Linked DNA regions of Saccharomyces cerevisiae S288C. Each later gene encodes a partner of the first gene's protein in a complex. Each region holds a gene or a part of one and is shown in the gene's direction. Other genes may lie near its edges. The genes, in order: RPC82, RPC53, RPC34 and RPC31.

The links.
Region 2: RPC82 (region 1) and RPC53 share a complex: the UniProt entries of both Saccharomyces cerevisiae proteins name them as parts of the RNA polymerase III (Pol III) complex.
Region 3: the proteins of RPC82 (region 1) and RPC34 are in contact, whole or in part, in a cryo-EM structure (PDB 7Z0H), measured with the Saccharomyces cerevisiae proteins. Residues at the interface, in NP_015516.1 of Saccharomyces cerevisiae: Ser35 (codon at 3,454), Arg40 (codon at 3,469), Asn298 (codon at 4,243), Leu299 (codon at 4,246), Thr302 (codon at 4,255), Arg303 (codon at 4,258), Val304 (codon at 4,261), Gly305 (codon at 4,264), Ser306 (codon at 4,267), Val307 (codon at 4,270), Thr308 (codon at 4,273), Gly378 (codon at 4,483), Ser379 (codon at 4,486), Leu380 (codon at 4,489), Leu381 (codon at 4,492), Ser382 (codon at 4,495), Arg383 (codon at 4,498), Lys384 (codon at 4,501), Ser455 (codon at 4,714), Lys458 (codon at 4,723), Ile459 (codon at 4,726), Asn464 (codon at 4,741), Ser490 (codon at 4,819), Val491 (codon at 4,822), Tyr494 (codon at 4,831), Val495 (codon at 4,834), Ala497 (codon at 4,840), Ser498 (codon at 4,843), Thr499 (codon at 4,846), Pro502 (codon at 4,855); in NP_014400.1 of Saccharomyces cerevisiae: Trp164 (codon at 2,967), Leu170 (codon at 2,985), Ile172 (codon at 2,991), Ile175 (codon at 3,000), Asn176 (codon at 3,003), Leu179 (codon at 3,012), Asn189 (codon at 3,042), Pro192 (codon at 3,051), Pro202 (codon at 3,081), Lys203 (codon at 3,084), Lys204 (codon at 3,087), Asn205 (codon at 3,090), Val206 (codon at 3,093), Phe207 (codon at 3,096), Tyr208 (codon at 3,099), Ala209 (codon at 3,102), Pro210 (codon at 3,105), Val212 (codon at 3,111), Glu245 (codon at 3,210), Val246 (codon at 3,213), Val248 (codon at 3,219), Tyr249 (codon at 3,222), Asp250 (codon at 3,225), Asp251 (codon at 3,228), Glu254 (codon at 3,237), Val256 (codon at 3,243), Thr264 (codon at 3,267), Leu265 (codon at 3,270), Ile268 (codon at 3,279), Leu269 (codon at 3,282).
Region 4: the proteins of RPC82 (region 1) and RPC31 are in contact, whole or in part, in a cryo-EM structure (PDB 7Z31), measured with the Saccharomyces cerevisiae proteins. Residues at the interface, in NP_015516.1 of Saccharomyces cerevisiae: Leu25 (codon at 3,424), Val26 (codon at 3,427), Ile34 (codon at 3,451), Ser35 (codon at 3,454), Lys54 (codon at 3,511), Ala55 (codon at 3,514), His56 (codon at 3,517), Leu57 (codon at 3,520), Gly58 (codon at 3,523), Glu59 (codon at 3,526), Arg60 (codon at 3,529), Ala61 (codon at 3,532), Asp89 (codon at 3,616), Lys92 (codon at 3,625), Thr93 (codon at 3,628), Thr94 (codon at 3,631), Leu95 (codon at 3,634), Val96 (codon at 3,637), Ser97 (codon at 3,640), Thr99 (codon at 3,646), Gln100 (codon at 3,649), Leu101 (codon at 3,652), Tyr106 (codon at 3,667), Gln108 (codon at 3,673), Thr118 (codon at 3,703), Tyr120 (codon at 3,709), Leu130 (codon at 3,739), Leu131 (codon at 3,742), Tyr132 (codon at 3,745), Ser133 (codon at 3,748); in NP_014248.3 of Saccharomyces cerevisiae: His32 (codon at 3,285), Glu35 (codon at 3,294), Ile39 (codon at 3,306), Leu41 (codon at 3,312), Pro42 (codon at 3,315), Ile43 (codon at 3,318), Asn44 (codon at 3,321), Gly45 (codon at 3,324), Pro46 (codon at 3,327), Ile47 (codon at 3,330), Glu51 (codon at 3,342), Arg52 (codon at 3,345), Leu54 (codon at 3,351), Ala55 (codon at 3,354), Lys57 (codon at 3,360), Tyr58 (codon at 3,363), Ile59 (codon at 3,366), Asn60 (codon at 3,369), Phe61 (codon at 3,372), Gly62 (codon at 3,375), Lys63 (codon at 3,378), Thr64 (codon at 3,381), Val65 (codon at 3,384), Lys66 (codon at 3,387), Phe70 (codon at 3,399), Tyr71 (codon at 3,402), Thr72 (codon at 3,405), Gly73 (codon at 3,408), Ser74 (codon at 3,411), Met75 (codon at 3,414).

The regions. Positions count from the first base shown.
Region 1 is NC_001148.4:916,577-922,392, reverse strand, and holds RPC82 (DNA-directed RNA polymerase III subunit C82), read left to right. Parts: upstream 1-3,351; coding exon 3,352-5,316; downstream 5,317-5,816. Other genes in the region: AQY1 (Aqy1p), read right to left, coding at 1-533; QCR2 (ubiquinol--cytochrome-c reductase subunit 2), read right to left, coding at 1,906-3,012; SKI complex subunit tetratricopeptide repeat protein SKI3, read right to left, coding at 5,431-5,816. UniProt on the Saccharomyces cerevisiae protein: DNA-dependent RNA polymerase catalyzes the transcription of DNA into RNA using the four ribonucleoside triphosphates as substrates. Specific core component of RNA polymerase III which synthesizes small RNAs, such as 5S rRNA and tRNAs.
Region 2 is NC_001136.10:181,471-186,487, forward strand, and holds RPC53 (DNA-directed RNA polymerase III subunit C53), read left to right. Parts: upstream 1-1,872; coding exon 1,873-3,141; downstream 3,142-5,017. Other genes in the region: rRNA-processing protein SAS10, read right to left, coding at 1-1,548; autophagy protein ATG9, read left to right, coding at 3,455-5,017. UniProt on the Saccharomyces cerevisiae protein: DNA-dependent RNA polymerase catalyzes the transcription of DNA into RNA using the four ribonucleoside triphosphates as substrates. Specific peripheric component of RNA polymerase III which synthesizes small RNAs, such as 5S rRNA and tRNAs.
Region 3 is NC_001146.8:633,103-637,774, reverse strand, and holds RPC34 (DNA-directed RNA polymerase III subunit C34), read left to right. Parts: upstream 1-2,477; coding exon 2,478-3,431; downstream 3,432-4,672. Other genes in the region: ESCRT-0 subunit protein VPS27, read right to left, coding at 1-789; SWM2 (Swm2p), read right to left, coding at 1,392-1,832; putative ammonium permease ATO2, read left to right, coding at 3,919-4,672. UniProt on the Saccharomyces cerevisiae protein: DNA-dependent RNA polymerase catalyzes the transcription of DNA into RNA using the four ribonucleoside triphosphates as substrates. Specific peripheric component of RNA polymerase III which synthesizes small RNAs, such as 5S rRNA and tRNAs.
Region 4 is NC_001146.8:347,109-351,712, reverse strand, and holds RPC31 (DNA-directed RNA polymerase III subunit C31), read left to right. Parts: upstream 1-3,191; coding exon 3,192-3,947; downstream 3,948-4,604. Other genes in the region: YNL146C-A (uncharacterized protein), read left to right, coding at 133-327; Sm-like protein LSM7, read right to left, coding at 330-659, 756-773; ALF1 (Alf1p), read left to right, coding at 1,042-1,806; PGA2 (Pga2p), read left to right, coding at 1,957-2,346; INN1 (Inn1p), read right to left, coding at 4,171-4,604. UniProt on the Saccharomyces cerevisiae protein: DNA-dependent RNA polymerase catalyzes the transcription of DNA into RNA using the four ribonucleoside triphosphates as substrates. Specific peripheric component of RNA polymerase III which synthesizes small RNAs, such as 5S rRNA and tRNAs.

The DNA.
Region 1 (5,816 bases):
AGACCCCTCGTCCTAGAGCAGCCCAGGCCCAAAGAATTGGCAAAGAGGACTTCACCAGGTGTCATGGCGCTTGCAGCGCCTCCAGCGGCCATTCCAGCAACAATCTGCGAAACCCACATAACGACACATCTTGTAGGAGAGACGGCTCTCGCCAAGCACAGCGAAAGCGACATAGCAGGATTCAAAGCCCCACCAGAGACACCGGCAAAACACCAGATAGAAAACATGACGGAAAATCCGAAACCGATGGCAATCATAATCAATTGACCCGGATGGGAACCGTCAGGCGCTGCAACGAGTGCGACATCATGGTTAGCGACATTGCAGATAACGTAAGCGCACCATAAAAACATGAATGTGCCGCAGAACTCACCGACCGCAGCGATAAAGTGGTCTCTCAGGGTGTCCCTAGAGATTTTAAAGCGATGGTGCTTTGTTTCCGGCTGCTCCGGAGGGATGTAGGCGTCGTCCACACCGGTAGGATCCAGACGTGTATGTTGCTTGTCGGTATCGTTCGAATCGTTCGAAGACATGTTATAGTTAATTACATGTTACTTTATGTGCCGTATTGACAGACAGCACCAAATACAAAGAATAAAAAAAGAGAAGGAAAAAAAAAACAAAATATCAAAAGGACAAGACGAATTGTGGGAATCGACACTCGGAAGAACAGACAGAATGCGATGCAGGGAAAAGCACTGCGCTTAATATACCTCGAATTCAAACGGCATATCACACAATTTCCGACGTAAAATATTTTTCCTTCTTTCTTTTCCTTGTCGCGTATATGCTATCCTGCAATTTACCACTTCTAGACTAATCCTACTGTGTAAGAGGGTGGAAGGACATCAGGCATAAGGAAGTCTATACGAATAAACTTTTCTTCTTTCTAATTCTTGTAAGATTAAGCTTTGAGGGATAAACGACGGCAATAATGAGTTTAAGGCAAGCTTATCGAAGTAATATAAAACGGTGGCCGATGCAGATATTCACTTGGAAAAAAATTAGGGGACGCGTGGGGAGGGCCGGCTTTCATGGCATCCCGATTTACCGTGCAGGAAACAACCTCGCACCCTCGGGGCATGACCACCTAACGGAGGAGATTCTGTGCGGGCATTTCTTGGGGTATTTATCGTCGACAACCGGCGTTGTTAGGACGGGAGAAAGTATGTTTTAAGTTTGCATTCCTGAGAGGATAAGACGATATCAATTAGTACTACATTCTCCCTTTGTCATTCGGCATGGCGGCGTCCATATCGGCAGTTGCTATGTATCTTACGTAAGTCTGCGTTTTATGTATAGACCTTTTAGTGCTTTTAAGTATCTATATCTGGAAATCGTGGTTCCGTCATGCCCATACTAGCTGGGAGATCTCCGCCTACGGTGCTTTTGCGGTGATGTTCGGCGGAGTGCATCGCGCATAAGCAAACAACCGTTTATTTCAGCCTTGCGTGCTTGAAAATACAGGACCGTTAAATATGTAGATATGTACGCAGAGGCGTGTAAGCCACACAGCATTGTTGTTGCGTAAAAATGAGGGTGAATCGCCTCCTCAAATTACATGCCTTTCTTTTTTTGCCAGGATCGTGAGATGAGACATAAAATAACGTACCACTGAAACTTGACAGAATTGAGGGGTCTAACTATAAACCTGCGGCAAAAGAAGGATTGTATGCTGAAGTAGAAAAAAGGATAATTAAATATATATTTACTAGTATAGTAAGAATTTGGAAAGGGTAAGGAATAAATAATGAGGGATTTTTTTTTGGTCTTACATGTTGTTATTTGAATTTTGTTTGTTTTTATTTTCAATATTTGTGTGAATATTCATTAAAAAAAAGGTGCGCGGCAACATCTATATATATATTTGCCTTTAGTTTTTCGTTTTGTACAAATACTTTCCTCTTACAATTCGTCCAAATATGGCAAGTTGGAAACATCACCGACGGCTACATAGTTGAATTTTCCCAACTTAAAGTCCTTCACGGCGTCAAAATTTAGTTCAATTGGGCTGGAAACAGATTCATTTTGGACGGCATTCTTTAACTTTGTGTAATTTATTGCAGGGGATAAGTCCTTGCCCTTCTTCAAATCCGCAACAATTTTCTTGATGTTGGAAGATACCACGGCGCTGTCCTGGTCTCTTACAAACAGAGTAAATAGGCCGCCGTCAGTGAATTTATCAAGTTTAGCCGAGCTGATTAAACCGGAAAGCTCGGATAGGGCAGAGGTCAAATAGTTGGCCAATACTTCATATTGAGCTAGGGAGGCTTTGTTTACCGGGATACCAATGGCGGCAACGGAGTCACCGATAAACCTTACCCTGTTTTCTTCACCCAAAAAGAATTTTGGTTCGGATTTACTCACCAATGACTTACCTGCAGGCAAAGTGCTTAACAGTGACTCGTCAACAAATCTTTTCAAATCGGCCTCAACAACATTTTCACCGCTAACTTCAAGGTTCTCCTTGGTATAGACTTTGTCCGCAAAGTCCTTGATATCTTGCAAACTGACTCTTTCCACACCATCGTATAACAATGGGTTTCCTAAACCCTTTCTGAATGTAATGGCATACAATTGGTCTTCGGCGCTCTTTACCGGACATTGTTCAGCGACCGCATAATCGTATCTAGCAGCAGGCAAAACAGATTCGGTGAGCTCGTGAGGTTTGAAGGCAGTCTTGTATAGCACGTCTGCTAGGGCATTGACGTAGTAGGGAAGGTCGTCCTTCAAAAAGGTAGCTTTCAAAGTGATGTATTCCCTATCCAAGGTAGACTTAAAAGTTCCCCCTAATAATTCGGATTCTCTGACTAATTTCAAAGCTGATCTAGTGTTCGTGTTTTGAAAGTTGAATCTGTTTAAAAGATGGGCCACACCATCCTTGGTTGCATAACGAGACCCTCCATGGACCTTAACAGCCAATGTAGATATTTTAGTAGGTGCGTCTCTAGCGGAAACGGTCAACCTTCTAACTGACCCCTGGGCAAATTGCAATCTAGCTGCTGACAACATCAACGTTCTTCTTTTTTCCTTTTAATAATTTTAACTCTCCCGTCCTAATCGTTCGAGCACACTGCTGTTAAAAACCTTATTAACTTCTAAAACTTCGTCAGCAAACGCTCTGAGGAAAGGCCCTTGTTCTTTATATATATATTTGGTAGGCTAACGGATATAAGACGGGGCGGGCCTTCTATTGGTTCGTTGGGAATGATCAGAAATTTTTCAAAAGCTCATCGCATTGAAGGAAAAAAATAATTTTGGATCAAAATAATAATAGTGGAAGAAATATTGAGAACAATAGAGAATTGCTGACACAGGAATAGGGAAAAATTTTTGTTGAGCAAGATCCAAATGGACGAGTTACTGGGAGAAGCGCTTAGTGCAGAGAACCAAACAGGTGAGAGCACTGTCGAATCTGAGAAGTTGGTCACCCCCGAAGATGTTATGACCATATCATCCTTGGAACAGAGAACCTTGAATCCCGATTTGTTTCTTTACAAAGAGTTGGTGAAGGCACATCTGGGTGAAAGAGCAGCTTCTGTAATTGGGATGTTGGTTGCGCTGGGCAGATTGAGTGTGCGCGAGTTAGTGGAGAAAATAGATGGTATGGATGTAGACAGCGTCAAGACGACACTAGTCTCATTAACTCAATTAAGGTGTGTTAAGTACCTGCAAGAAACAGCAATATCCGGGAAAAAAACGACTTATTATTACTATAACGAGGAAGGGATACACATTTTACTCTACTCAGGGTTGATTATTGACGAAATTATTACGCAAATGCGTGTAAACGACGAAGAGGAGCATAAACAGCTGGTGGCTGAAATTGTACAAAACGTTATATCATTAGGGTCCTTAACAGTGGAAGATTATCTAAGTAGTGTCACGTCAGATTCCATGAAGTACACCATTTCATCACTATTCGTGCAACTGTGTGAAATGGGATATCTTATTCAAATATCAAAATTGCATTATACCCCAATCGAAGATCTCTGGCAATTTTTATATGAAAAACATTACAAAAATATTCCCAGAAACTCCCCGTTGTCCGATTTGAAGAAAAGATCCCAAGCCAAGATGAATGCGAAAACTGATTTTGCCAAAATCATAAATAAACCAAATGAGCTTTCACAAATCTTAACGGTTGATCCAAAGACCTCATTGAGGATTGTTAAACCTACAGTCTCTCTGACGATTAATTTGGATAGATTTATGAAAGGTAGAAGATCTAAACAATTGATTAACTTGGCCAAGACAAGAGTCGGCTCCGTCACAGCTCAAGTTTACAAAATTGCATTAAGACTCACAGAGCAAAAGTCTCCTAAAATTAGAGATCCACTAACTCAAACTGGGCTTTTACAAGATTTGGAGGAAGCAAAATCGTTTCAAGACGAAGCCGAACTTGTTGAGGAGAAGACACCAGGGCTTACCTTTAATGCTATTGACTTGGCAAGACATCTCCCCGCAGAATTGGACTTGCGTGGAAGCTTATTATCTAGAAAGCCCTCTGACAATAAAAAGCGTTCTGGCTCAAACGCTGCTGCATCATTACCCAGTAAAAAATTAAAAACCGAAGATGGATTTGTGATCCCGGCGCTACCTGCTGCTGTTTCCAAATCTCTTCAAGAAAGTGGAGATACACAAGAAGAAGACGAAGAGGAGGAGGATTTGGATGCAGACACTGAGGATCCTCACTCAGCTTCTTTGATAAATAGTCATTTAAAAATCCTAGCATCATCAAATTTCCCCTTTTTGAACGAAACCAAACCAGGTGTTTACTATGTTCCATATAGCAAACTAATGCCAGTATTAAAGTCATCTGTTTATGAGTATGTTATCGCGTCTACGTTGGGACCCTCAGCAATGCGTTTAAGCCGTTGTATTCGTGATAACAAGCTGGTGTCTGAGAAAATTATCAACTCAACTGCGTTAATGAAGGAAAAGGATATAAGATCTACATTAGCATCTTTAATTAGATACAATTCTGTGGAAATCCAGGAAGTTCCAAGAACAGCCGATAGATCAGCATCAAGGGCAGTTTTTTTGTTTAGATGCAAAGAAACGCATTCCTATAATTTCATGAGACAAAACTTGGAATGGAATATGGCAAATTTACTTTTTAAAAAGGAGAAATTAAAGCAAGAAAACTCTACATTATTAAAAAAGGCAAATAGAGATGATGTTAAAGGAAGAGAGAACGAACTACTATTACCAAGCGAATTGAATCAATTAAAGATGGTCAATGAAAGAGAGCTAAATGTTTTCGCTCGTTTATCGAGGTTGCTATCGCTTTGGGAAGTTTTCCAAATGGCATGATTACTCTATACAGCTGATAAACTCTGTCTAATAACCTTTTATACTCTATAGAAAAGATAAAATTTATTACTAATGTTACATTAAGGTTTGATTGACTATCTCGAATCCAAATTTTTAGAAACATTCGTTTAGCGCCTTCACTGCAGTAACGTTCCAAGGGCACAAAAACATACCTCTTTGTATGCTTCTCAAATTCTTACTCTCACAATATAGTTTACTCATCTCCTCCGCAGTAACTTTATTTTGTCCATTAGAAGCTATTCTTCGTTGAATATTCTTATCTAATCTCTCCCAAACCTTGAGGTTATTAGGGAAAAAGTACGCACTCCTTTGCCATACTTGTTTACCGGTATCGTTACGATAAAGTCTCTTAGTAATTTCTTCTATCAGATATGGTGCGTCTTTGTGCTTATCTATTATTTGTTTGGATAATGGCAAAGCTTTCAATTCTTCTAAAATAATGCTTAAATCTTCACGCTTATCGTCTAGAATTGACATAG
Region 2 (5,017 bases), on another chromosome or scaffold:
AGCATTCTTATGAGCCTCTTTACGAGATATTTTCTTGTCTTGTTTACCTCTCTGAACCTGTTGATAATAATCGTTCTCGCCTTGAGTGTTGATGCTCCTAGACACAGCTTCATCTTCAGAACCGTAATCCTTATCGTCTAGGTCAGCACCATTATTATCATGCATACCACGTTTACGAGCTTCATCCAACAGACGTTGCTGCCTTTCAAATAAACGTTCCTTATATGGAATATCATCATCACCTTTGAATCTATCCGTCTTTTTATTTTCTTGTTGATCAATTTTCGAAGTATAGAAACGCAAAGTTCTTCTACGAGCTTTTTTGTCTTGTGCGTCCACATCAGCAATCTCAGATTCAATGAAATCATCAGCTTCAGGCATTGATGATGTTTTCGGTTTAGAATGCAGACGTGATTGTGCTACGTACTCTTCAAAATCGTCAATATCAACATCTTCTTCTTCTTCTTCTTCATCGCTTTCTCTTTCTTCTTCATCAATTTCTTGCTTTTGTTTTCCTCCATCCTCTGCATCAGAATCTTCACTGTTTTGCAACTCATTCAGCTTCTTTTCGTTAAAGGCCTCAATGTTTGCGGTTTCTTCACTTTCAGAACCATCTCCTTCATTCACATCAAAACTAGATGGCAATTCGCTGGCTTGCCTCCAAATCTCTTTTGTCGTTAAAATCTTTTCCATGACCGGATGTCCCTTCATAGATGTGAAATCTTCATTATTATGGAGTTCGTGCAACAAGATACTATAGTAACATGATATTGTGCCTAGGTAACTTCCAAGTGCAATTAGCTTTAATTTATTGAACTCATTTTCCTCAGATTTCTTTAATTCGTCAAACTTTGGAGCTAATTCTGTGAATTCTTTTGAAAGTGGAGCAAATTCAGGAAACATTGTCCTTAAATAGTTATCCCTTGCTTCGTCATCCATATTTAGAATATCCGTTATGGAAGTTTTAGTATCAGCCTGCTTGGTCGAGTTCTTAAATTCACCCATGTCAAATTCTTTGGCACTTTTGACCCACTCTTCTTCTTCTTCTTCATCTAAGTAATCGTTCATATTAAGTTCTTCCAGATGCTTCTTTTGTTGTCGTAAAGCTTCCTTTTCTATTTCCTTAGCAGCTTCGTCATCATCTAAATCATCAGCCCCATAATATTCTCCTTTTGTGGACCCCCAGGCATTCTCGTTGTCTAACATACCATTCTCTTCATCTTCCTCAGGAAGCTGGTCAGTTTCTAAGTTTCTACCAAATATTTTCTTATAGGCTGCAGCACCATCTAGTTCCTCTTCCTCTTCTTCTTCCTCATCTTCTCTTTCATCTATTGACTCATCATCTTCATCCATGGCTAAGACTTCTTCCTCATCTTCGTCTTCTAACAGAGAATGGTCATCATCTTTATTACTGTCGCCAAAGGTGGATTGTCCAAGTAAAACCTTTTCCCTTTTAGAAGCAAAATCATCAACTTCGTTTAAACCATACGGATTAATCTCATCCCCAACTTCAGAGGTCTTAGTTCTGTTTGAGCCTTTGCGTACCATATTATTCTATACACCCACTCTAATATGTTTTCTCTTCCTCCAAAACTTTTTGTATAAAAGCATCAGTGAGATGAGCTATGATGAGATGAGCTTCATTATTGAATTTTTTTTCATTGCAGAAGCGCAGTTTGAAAATTTTTCATCCGCCCTGCAAAGTCCAATTTTTTGATCAGCAGAAGATAATGACCAGAGAATTATGGTATTCAAGAGAACAATTCAAAAGAGGACAGCTAGAAAGATATTGAGGTATTTATAATTTGCTAGACTAACCGAAAGTCGAAGCGTAATCTTGTTTTTTATTAAGCGGGATAGCATTCATTAAGTATGAGCAGTAATAAAGGAAATGGGCGCTTGCCATCATTAAAAGATTCCTCCTCCAATGGAGGAGGATCTGCCAAGCCCTCATTAAAGTTTAAACCAAAAGCAGTTGCAAGAAAGTCCAAGGAAGAAAGAGAAGCAGCTGCGTCCAAAGTAAAGCTAGAGGAGGAATCTAAGAGAGGTAATGACAAGAAACATTTCAATAACAAGAATAAAAGAGTAACCGGCGCTGGCGGCCAGCAAAGGCGAATGGCCAAATACTTAAATAACACACACGTTATCTCTAGCGGTCCATTGGCGGCTGGGAACTTTGTAAGTGAGAAGGGTGATTTGAGAAGAGGATTCATCAAATCAGAAGGAAGCGGGTCATCTCTTGTGCAAAAGGGCCTGGAAACTATTGACAATGGTGCTGAGAGCTCTGAGAATGAGGCAGAAGACGATGATAATGAAGGTGTAGCGTCCAAATCTAAGAAGAAGTTCAATATGGGAAAAGAATTCGAGGCACGCAATCTCATAGAGGACGAAGATGACGGCGAAAGTGAAAAGAGCAGTGACGTCGACATGGATGACGAAGAATGGAGATCTAAACGGATTGAACAGTTATTCCCTGTGAGACCTGTCCGCGTAAGACACGAAGACGTTGAAACTGTCAAAAGAGAAATACAAGAAGCTCTTTCAGAAAAGCCAACTCGTGAACCAACCCCCAGTGTGAAGACAGAGCCTGTCGGAACCGGATTACAATCTTATTTGGAAGAAAGAGAAAGGCAAGTCAATGAGAAACTGGCAGATCTTGGACTTGAAAAGGAGTTTCAATCGGTTGATGGGAAAGAAGCGGCCGCTGAGTTGGAATTATTAAATGCAGATCATCAGCATATATTACGAAAACTAAAGAAAATGAATAATAAACCAGAAAGATTCATGGTATTCCAGTTACCTACTAGGTTACCAGCTTTTGAAAGACCCGCTGTGAAAGAAGAAAAAGAAGACATGGAAACCCAGGCTAGCGACCCTTCAAAGAAGAAGAAGAATATTAAAAAGAAGGACACGAAGGATGCTTTGTCTACTAGAGAACTTGCCGGCAAGGTTGGGTCTATACGGGTTCACAAATCTGGAAAACTTTCCGTGAAAATTGGAAATGTGGTGATGGATATTGGCAAAGGTGCCGAAACCACATTTTTACAAGATGTTATAGCATTAAGTATCGCTGATGATGCATCCTCAGCGGAACTTCTAGGCCGTGTGGACGGTAAAATAGTAGTCACACCTCAAATCTAATCGCACTCGCATCTGTCGAGTATATAAATGAATATACACAGTCATAAATACTTCTAGAACAAATTACACTAATTAAGATGCTTAGATTCCCATTCAAAAGGTACTATTGACGTCTTGTCTTCTACAATTTCTCATCCTCTTTGAACATTGGTAATGTTATTCTAGTTATTGTTACCCAGTTTCGGAACTTTAGGGGAGCCACACTTTAAACAAAAAGAAGCGCCATAACCACCGTGAAGTAATGAGTATCTCACTTTGATAAGAAGACATTTAAGAACAGCCTGAAATATCAAAATCACGGAATTATTAGGTTATGGAGAGAGATGAATACCAGTTACCCAACTCTCATGGGAAGAATACTTTCTTATCGCGAATATTTGGTTTACAATCGGATGAAGTTAATCCTTCTCTTAATAGCCAGGAGATGAGCAACTTCCCTTTACCAGACATAGAGAGAGGCTCATCTTTATTGCATTCTACTAACGACAGCCGCGAAGATGTAGATGAGAATGACTTACGTGTTCCTGAGTCTGACCAAGGCACTAGTACAGAAGAAGAGGATGAAGTAGATGAAGAGCAAGTCCAGGCGTATGCTCCACAGATTAGTGATGGATTGGATGGAGACCACCAGCTAAATTCTGTAACGAGCAAAGAAAATGTACTTGAAACGGAAAAAAGCAATTTAGAAAGACTGGTTGAAGGCTCTACCGATGATTCTGTGCCCAAAGTCGGACAGCTTTCGTCAGAAGAAGAAGAGGATAATGAGTTCATAAATAATGATGGATTTGATGACGATACGCCCCTTTTTCAAAAAAGCAAGATTCATGAATTTAGCTCTAAGAAAAGCAATACTATAGAGGACGGTAAACGACCTTTGTTTTTCAGGCATATCTTACAGAATAACCGCCCTCAACGTGATACCCAAAAGCTATTTACTTCGTCGAACGCCATTCACCATGATAAGGACAAGAGTGCAAATAATGGTCCCCGTAACATTAATGGTAATCAAAAGCATGGCACTAAATACTTTGGTAGTGCTACACAACCTCGGTTTACCGGTTCGCCCTTAAATAATACAAACAGGTTCACTAAATTGTTTCCATTAAGAAAGCCAAATTTACTGAGCAATATATCCGTTTTAAACAATACCCCGGAAGATAGAATCAATACGTTGAGCGTGAAAGAGCGGGCTCTGTGGAAATGGGCAAACGTAGAAAACCTCGATATATTTCTTCAAGATGTTTACAATTATTATCTGGGAAATGGGTTCTATTGCATCATACTGGAAAAAATATTGAATATATGCACTTTGCTTTTTGTTGTTTTTGTTTCTACATATATGGGTCACTGTGTTGACTACTCCAAATTACCGACTAGTCACCGGGTTTCGGATATTATTATCGACAAGTGTTATTCTAATAGTATAACGGGGTTCACAAAGTTTTTCCTTTGGATGTTTTATTTCTTCGTGATTCTCAAAATTGTTCAACTCTACTTTGATGTTCAAAAATTATCAGAATTACAAAACTTTTACAAGTATCTTTTAAATATATCGGATGACGAACTTCAAACTTTGCCCTGGCAAAATGTGATACAGCAGCTAATGTACTTGAAGGATCAAAACGCTATGACGGCAAATGTTGTGGAAGTCAAAGCCAAGAATAGAATCGACGCGCATGACGTTGCCAATAGAATCATGAGAAGAGAAAACTATCTCATAGCACTTTACAATAGCGACATCCTGAATTTATCCTTGCCTATTCCATTATTTAGGACCAACGTTCTGACAAAAACACTAGAATGGAATATTAATTTATGCGTCATGGGCTTTGTGTTCAACGAGTCCGGATTTATTAAACAAAGTATTTTAAAACCT
Region 3 (4,672 bases), on another chromosome or scaffold:
TATCAGCTCTTCTTCATCCTCAGGAGTTGAGTAGTCCCTGTCCTTCTTTCTTTTATGGCGATGTTTTTTAGATTTTTTACTGTCGTCATGTCTCTTCAAATCGTAATCTTCAAAGCAGCTATCACATACTCTGACTGGCTCATATATACCCAAATCAGGTAAGGGTATACTATTTGATGAGTGTTCTTGGCAGAAAACTCCACCACAGGAACGACAGTGATGTTTCCTATTTAGTAGAGAAAACTTTTTGGAGCAAATCATACAAGCATCAGAATCAATCCAATCTGCGGGCGTCTTCGAGTCAAACATTGCAGTCGGAGAATTGGAAAGTGTTAGCTTTTCAGGGAATTTAATGCCACGAGAGATTAATTTATCATAAACTTTTGCCACATAGTTAAGTTGCGAATCATTTTTGAAGGCTACGTATAGTTCATATAATATGGTCTTTACCAGCTCAGAAAGTTCTTCGTTGCTATCTTCTCTTAAAATGACATGTTCCATGGTATCCATGAACTCTCTGGAACAAATTTCCTTAATAAAAGGCGTTCCACCATTTTTTACACATATATTGGTAAGCTTCCAGGAAGACAATTGGGTATTTGGATTATCGGCCGTATTGAGAATCCTTTTCTTTATACAACGCATAGAATCTTTGGGATTTACCCTTCTAGATCTTAACACATCTGAAATTTCCAACGCTATGGGGAGATCAAGGTCACCGTTGGGAATGCTCTCACTAGTGGCTTGTTCTATTAATGCGTCTAACTCACTTGGCGTGCTAACGGACATACTGTTCTTAGTTCTTTACTCACTACTCATTCACCTTAGCAAAAAAAAATCTTGATAATTTTACACCCTCTATTTTTAAATTCCCTCTGCTAATGATGATTATTTCAGGTATCATCGAAATTTTCAGAAAAGGAGGCCGAGCAAGATGATTCTGCTGCTCCGCAAGAAATAGCAGTAGCGTATGTATTACCAAAATCCAAAATCTTGTGAAGGTTACTTTATATAAGTGAGGCTCAAAGGACACCAGGCGTCTATAAATGTATACAAAGTAGCTGTTTTGACATATTACCAAAAAATCGGGAAAATACCTAGGTTGGTTAATGATGAACTCGAAAGAGCCTTAAGAAAAGTTGATTCAACAACATATGGTGTATGGTCGCTCCGAACAGTTTGCTTTTGTCTAGTACATAGTTACTGGTGAACTTTCCTGGATATGCGCGTGCTAACTAGAGCATTTTATGTTGATAATTAATTTAAATTGCATGATACAGATTACGAGACGAAAGATAGTCGATTATATATCTTTCAATCTTGGTTTAGTTTGGCAGCAAAAGCTAAAAGGTAGGCTCCGTGCATATTAGATGAGTGAACACACTTTAGGTTTATTCTTGTATGAAATCATTCACTTCGACCTCTTCCAAGATCAAATTCTCTAATGGATTACTTATGAGTTTACCAAATTCGTCAAATTCCAACCTGACTACATTCAAATTCTTAACATATGAGACATCAATCTCATCCTTAATGATATTATCAGCAGGCGGAGGATCCTTCAACTTTTTATATTCCTTGCCCTTCAAAACATACCACAGGTTAAGGCATCTTCTTATAATTTCCGGATTGACTGTCTTCGCACCTTCTTCGTTCCATTTATGGAAATTAGAACGACAAATTTTTAGAGCTCTAGACTTTAAATGTGCATTTCTTGCTATATTCTGAAAATATGGCTCCAATACTGCGGAGTATTCCTTCGGAATTCGATTCAAGTCCGTTAATCCGTCTAGTAAACCTTCTAAGTTAGAGTAATTGTATAAATCTATCATCCGAGGAGATCCTCTTCTCTTTGCTTATGCATTTAGTCTCCTTTGATTTCTCAAGTTTATAATTTTTTTCTTTTTTTCTCACTTTTTAATACCTTTTAATAGCCGCTATTTTTTTAATTTTAGTTAAGTTTTCTTCTAATTTTGAATATAAAAAGTCATCTTATAACTAGTACATTTTATATGAAGGAGTTTCTATAGGTTTTAAAGGTGTGCAAAAAAAAAAAACAGCGTTAAAAGGCTACGAGTAAAACCAGATTCTTGGAAGACTTTGCTTACATGTGAGCAATTGAGAAGAAAAGGCAGGGGGCATTAAACGTTACGGCTACGGTTCGTCCGCACTACTCACTACATCGCCTACCGTAGCATACCTACGCTCACCCATTGCCATACCCACAGTAAATATGTAAATCGTTTATTAAAATGTTTAAGCCCTTGTTTGGTAGTATATTTAGAATCCAACTAGATGATATTGCAATTATTTAATCTTTTTGTTTTTAAGTAACATCGCGCACAGGCACTTTTTTTTTCCTTCAAATCTTTTATTGTATTAAAAATTTTCAAGTTGATTTGCGATGTATTTGTGAGATGAGATCATTACAGAAAATCTTAATCAAGTGAAGAATTTACAGCGCCAATATCCTGAATATGAGTGGAATGATAGAAAATGGGTTACAGCTATCGGACAATGCTAAAACCTTACATAGCCAGATGATGTCGAAAGGAATAGGCGCATTATTTACACAGCAAGAACTCCAAAAACAAATGGGAATCGGGTCGTTAACAGACTTGATGTCCATTGTACAGGAATTGCTAGACAAGAACTTGATCAAATTAGTAAAACAAAACGACGAATTAAAATTTCAAGGTGTCTTAGAATCTGAGGCGCAAAAGAAAGCCACCATGTCGGCTGAAGAGGCACTGGTATATTCTTATATCGAGGCTAGCGGTAGAGAAGGGATATGGTCCAAGACTATCAAGGCAAGAACCAATCTCCATCAGCATGTAGTTCTTAAATGCTTGAAGAGTTTAGAATCCCAAAGATACGTGAAGAGTGTTAAGAGTGTAAAGTTTCCCACAAGGAAAATCTACATGTTGTACAGCTTACAACCCTCTGTGGACATCACAGGAGGTCCATGGTTCACAGATGGAGAGCTGGATATAGAATTTATCAATAGTTTATTGACTATTGTTTGGAGGTTCATATCAGAGAACACCTTCCCTAATGGCTTCAAGAATTTCGAAAATGGACCCAAAAAAAACGTCTTTTATGCTCCAAACGTAAAAAATTACTCTACCACACAAGAAATTTTGGAATTTATTACAGCGGCACAAGTGGCCAATGTCGAGTTAACCCCTTCAAATATCAGATCTTTGTGTGAAGTCTTAGTGTACGACGACAAGCTGGAAAAAGTCACGCATGACTGCTATAGAGTGACCTTAGAGAGCATTCTACAAATGAACCAAGGTGAGGGCGAGCCGGAGGCAGGTAATAAGGCTTTGGAGGATGAAGAAGAATTTTCCATCTTTAACTACTTCAAGATGTTTCCGGCTTCAAAACACGACAAGGAAGTGGTCTATTTCGATGAATGGACAATTTGAAGTTCTTGACTACCCCTATCTCACACTAGTACGTAATTCAATGTATCATTCGTATTGTAAGTAGATAGAGACGCAATACAGGAAAGCTGACCTTCCTTCCAATCACCACGGCTGAAATGCTTTGTTGACCAATTACGGACGCTTAAGAGCGGACGCGGCTGGAACGGCTCCATCCTAAATCGGCGGAGGGAGAACTCCGATACCAGCCGACATGGCAATAATAGTGACAGTAGATGCTACCAGCCCCGCAATAATTTCACAGTAGATCATCAACAGTCTCCTCATTTCTGGAAATGATCAGCAACTTCGACGGATTTAACTCTCAAGCAGTTACGCACTCCGAGAACAGCCGTGATCATCTTTGAACAAGCAAAATATATAAAGCAGGAGAACTGTCCTACCTAGAGCTAGAATAGCCATAACTAACTATGTAACATTCTACAGATCAATCAAAAACAATCTTCAATCACAGAAAAAAATAAAAGGCATGTCTGACAGAGAACAAAGCAGCGGCAACACCGCTTTTGAGAACCCTAAGGCACTCGATTCTTCCGAGGGTGAGTTCATCTCTGAAAACAACGATCAGAGCCGCCACTCGCAAGAGTCCATATGCAAAATATATACTGCGGGCAAAAACAACGAGTATATTTACATCGGCCGTCAAAAATTTTTAAGGGATGATTTGTTCGAGGCATTCGGTGGTACTCTGAATCCCGGTTTAGCCCCCGCGCCAGTCCATAAATTCGCAAATCCTGCTCCACTAGGACTTTCCGGTTTTGCCCTCACTACGTTTGTCCTATCCATGTTCAATGCAAGAGCCCAAGGCATCACTATCCCTAATGTTGTTGTTGGGTGTGCCATGTTTTACGGTGGCCTCGTTCAACTCATTGCTGGTATTTGGGAAATCGCTTTAGAGAACACTTTCGGTGGTACAGCCCTGTGTTCCTTCGGCGGTTTTTGGTTAAGCTTCGGTGCTATATACATCCCTTGGTTTGGAATTCTAGATGCCTATAAGGACAAGGAATCCGACCTTGGAAATGCGCTAGGGTTTTACCTCCTAGGATGGGCACTCTTCACCTTCGGTCTTTCCGTCTGCACCATGAAATCAACTATAATGTTTTTTGCCTTATTCTTCCTCTTAGCAGTGACCTTCTTACTTCTATCCATTGCAAACTTCACAGGCGAAGTTGGCGTCACTAGAGCTGGTGGGGTCCTTGGTGTGATAGTAGCCTTCATTGCCT
Region 4 (4,604 bases), on another chromosome or scaffold:
TGGACAAATACGAAAGGAATCAGTAAATAATTAAGATTGTAGAGGGAGGGGTGTATGTGTATGCGGATACTTTTTTGATTTGGCAGAAGGAAAATTGGTATTGGCAGCTGTACAGTGACTCCCCTTATACAAATGATCTCAGTTTGTTTCGTTTTTCCTCATTCTCTGGCTTTAGACTTCAAATCGCGGTGTAAAAAAAATAGGACAAAACTATGTAGCGCATACTATGTCAGTCAGGTATTGAGAATATGTAAAGAAATGCCATACCGTGATTTGATTTTGTTTTCAACTGTAAGGAAGGGAGTTTATATGAGATTATATTATTAAACCTATTTTTGCATATATAGTACATCAGAACCTTCGGCGGAACTTAAAGAGACCAAAATAGTACCTCTTATGACGGTCAAACCTAGCTTTCTTGCGTTTTTAGAAATCAGTTCAGTGTTGTTTTCATCATCAGGATTAGACATATATTCTACTGTATCATCAAGTACCAAGTTCATCAGTTGATCATAGCCTTTTAGGACACCTATAACTAATTTACCACCCATTAATTTGACGCGAATTTTAGAATCTTTATACTTCGCTAAATCCAGAATAGCTTCTCTTTTAGGGCCTTCGAATTTTTTCCTTTGCTGTTGTGGTTTGTTCTCTGATTTCTTAGTTCAAAAAGGAAACATAGTTATTATAATGTTAGTATAAATAAGTCAAAAGGAAGGTTATTGCCACGGAAGAAAATAAGAAGTGAAACATACGGAGTGTTGCTGATGCATGTTTTTTTGGTTAATGTTCTGTGTAGTAAACAAAGTGCTGCTCTCAAATAACTTTCTTTTTTACTGTAGTAGTATACACGTACATGCGTATTCTTAATTGTCGTTTCCCAGTTGTCTGTTTTCAGCTACAGCTTTTTTCGCCTTTGTTCGAAAGAACAGTACTTTTTTCCGGCTCGCAGGGAAACGGCAGTTGAAGAAGACAAGCGACAAGAACATAGAGCAACGAATTCAAATAAAGAGATAGAAAAAAAAATTACATGGCAAAACTATGGTTAGAGTTGTCATAGAGAGTGAATTGGTCCGTACAGAAAAGGAATTACCAAATTCGCTTAAATTAAGGCAGTTCAAGGACCGATTGTACCATGTTACCGGAGTGGAACCAGAGGATATGGAAATAGTTGTGAAAAGACAGTACGACAACAAGGAGATATATAGTACTAAAAAGGGGGGTGCCTATTCAAATGAGGATGAAGATGCCAACTTCCTAAAAGGAGAGGAGGAGCTTATTGTGGTTGTTACAGACTCTAATGCCCAATCAATCTCTAACCAGCTGGCCACGCAAGCGGAAGGAATCCCCTCAATGGAAGTAATTAGCGAGGAGGATTATTTGCGAAGGGATCAATCCGTATTACGATGGAAGATGGCTCACGGCTATGGTAGGTTTAATGCTGCACAGCAGAGCCAGCGCGCTGCGCTGGCAAAGCAGGACGAAGCATATGCCCGAGAGCAATTAACGGCGGCTATCGGCCGCCACTGTCGTGTCACAGTAGACGGGAGCGCTCCACGTGAGGCCATTTTACGGTACGTAGGACCACTACCGTTGGACGTGATGGGCACATGGTGCGGTGTGGAATTCCCGGAAGCCGCAGGCAAAAACGATGGGCGCATAAATGGGGTAACACTGTTTGGGCCTGTGGCGCCGGGTCACGGATCGTTTGTGCGTCCGCGGGCTGTGGAAATTCTATCAAAAGACGAAGAATCCGCCGAGGTGGAAGACGTCCATGATGACGTGGAGAGCGATGATGAAATTTGAATTTGTGCAGAATTAGCGCGGTGGCGGTTTAGTTAGTGATCTCCATCCGATGTCAACATATTATTATTTGTAGTTGTATTTATGTGCACTCGGCGGTTTGTATGAGGAAAAGATGTTATGAAGAGAAAAACTGCCGAGTAATTGAAAGAGATGTCTGAAGTAGCGGAAACATGGGTGGATACCTGGATGGCAAAACTAGTCAACTATGACTACAAGCACTTTATAAGATTGGTGATAATTGTAGGTGGTTATTTACTCTTAAGAAATATCGCATCCAGGGAATTGGCGAAGAAGCAGTTGGCTGCCCAAGTGGAAAAGGACAAACGAGACAAAGAGGAAAAGAGATCAAAAGACCTGATCGACAAGCCAGATGATGCTGCAACAGCAGAAACAACTTCTTTCGGTTGGGGTAAGAAAACTAGAAGAAGAGTTAAAAGACAACAGGAGTTGTTTGAAAACGCTTTGGAAGAGGCTAAGAGAAGAAACCAAGGGTTGGACCCAGATAGTGATGCTGATATTGAGGAACTACTGGAAGAATAGGCTCTCTGTGTATGTATGGGTTCCTCTTTGTCATTGTGACATTGTTTTGTTTTTAGTTTTTCTATAGTTTTCTGATAAAATAGTCTAACCATTACCGATGTTGCTACTTGCATCATTCTCAACGTCTAATCAACTTGCGTTTGCGTCTCAAATTGAGTTTGTAGGTTACGTGTCGCCTTAATAGTCAGCAAATGCCGACGTTTGTGAGACGGATAACGACTGCGATGATTCCCATTCCGCATGAATGATGCAATTCACAATTCAAACACGATATCAAACGACTAAGCCGTGAATTAACGGCTAGAATGCAAAAGAAAATGGGTAAGAATTGATTTATGTAGATACGGCAAGACGATACTTTCCTTAAACAGCCGAGAAACGAAAAGGTTTAAAGAGATGTACTGTGACGTAGAAGAGAAAGGATTACGCAGCAATGGCTTGTCCAAATTTCGTAGTCTAGCCAATTGAAAATATAAATTATTTTCAATACTAATGGGCGGCTTTCGAACAAATGTCACATTGCAGAGGTGATCGTTCAAAGTAATTAGCAGTCATGAACGAGATCTTCTTTTCTCTTATGAAGAAAAAGGCTGATGGTCGACAAGAAAAATCTCAATACAATGGCTACCATTCCACAAAGAAGTGCCTCGCTAGGTGTAACTCAATGAACTGAAATTGCTTTCGTCAGTGGTTTCAACTCTTGTGCGGCCGCATGAAAAATGAAGAGAAATTTGAAAAAATCTCAAAGAAGAAAATAGTTTCCTCATCGCAGCAACCTATAGAAAACAACACGACAGAAAGATATTGTAACTTGATAGTACCGAGCATATATACCCCGAACAAACATGAGTTCTTATAGGGGCGGCAGTAGAGGTGGCGGGAGCAACTATATGAGCAATCTACCCTTCGGATTAGGTTATGGAGATGTAGGCAAAAATCATATTACGGAATTTCCATCCATCCCATTGCCCATCAATGGTCCTATAACAAATAAGGAAAGATCTTTAGCAGTAAAGTACATCAATTTTGGAAAGACTGTTAAAGATGGCCCATTTTATACCGGATCAATGAGCTTGATAATAGATCAACAGGAAAACAGCAAGAGCGGTAAACGCAAACCCAACATAATCCTAGACGAAGACGATACTAATGATGGCATTGAAAGATATTCCGATAAATATTTGAAAAAAAGGAAAATAGGTATTTCTATTGATGATCATCCGTATAATTTGAACCTCTTTCCCAATGAATTGTACAATGTAATGGGGATCAACAAGAAAAAATTATTGGCAATCTCCAAGTTTAATAATGCCGATGATGTTTTTACTGGTACAGGTTTACAAGATGAAAACATCGGACTATCCATGCTGGCAAAGTTAAAGGAGTTGGCAGAAGATGTGGATGATGCGTCGACGGGTGATGGGGCAGCAAAAGGAAGTAAAACAGGCGAAGGAGAAGATGATGATTTGGCGGATGATGATTTCGAAGAAGATGAAGACGAAGAAGATGATGATGATTATAATGCTGAAAAGTATTTCAACAATGGTGACGATGATGATTACGGTGATGAAGAGGATCCAAATGAAGAGGCCGCCTTTTAGTTGAAAATTTATACCGCTTTACCATATTTTTGGATATTCTTCAAAGCAGAATTTGTACAATTAGCATTTTTCTTTATGGTTTAGATCGGCGGTGAGGGCGCAACAGATTTATGTATACATATTGAAATAATAAAATTTAAAAAAGAAAAAATCTTGGTAAACATTAAAAATCTTAATTCTATTTAAATATTAGTATTACAATAACAGCATGTTTCTCTTGTCATTAGCTGAGCCTTGGAGGTGGTCTTTTTCTTGTAGGAGACATCGAATTCTTCCTCGAATTAAAATTGGAATTCGAAGTAGTCGGTAGAGGTGGTAGTTTTGGAGAATTCAGGCCTGATGGATGAGGATGTGAGTTAGGCGAAGAGGAATCTAGGCGTGAGGGTCTATCTCTTCTTACTAACGGCGTATTGCGCGAACTTGAATAATTGGACATATCATCTCTGGTCGGTATAGGAGGTAAGGGCGGTTGGTTATAGTTGTGGGAGACTCTATGGCTGGAAGAATAAAATGCGTCATTTTCGTCGTCATCGTCATCATCTTCGTCGTAAGACAACGAAGTTACACCAATAGCCTTTTGAAGTGCCTCAATATCTACCTTGTTAGATTCATTTTGGCAGTTGTTTGTTGAACTATCAGGATTCTTAAATATATTTA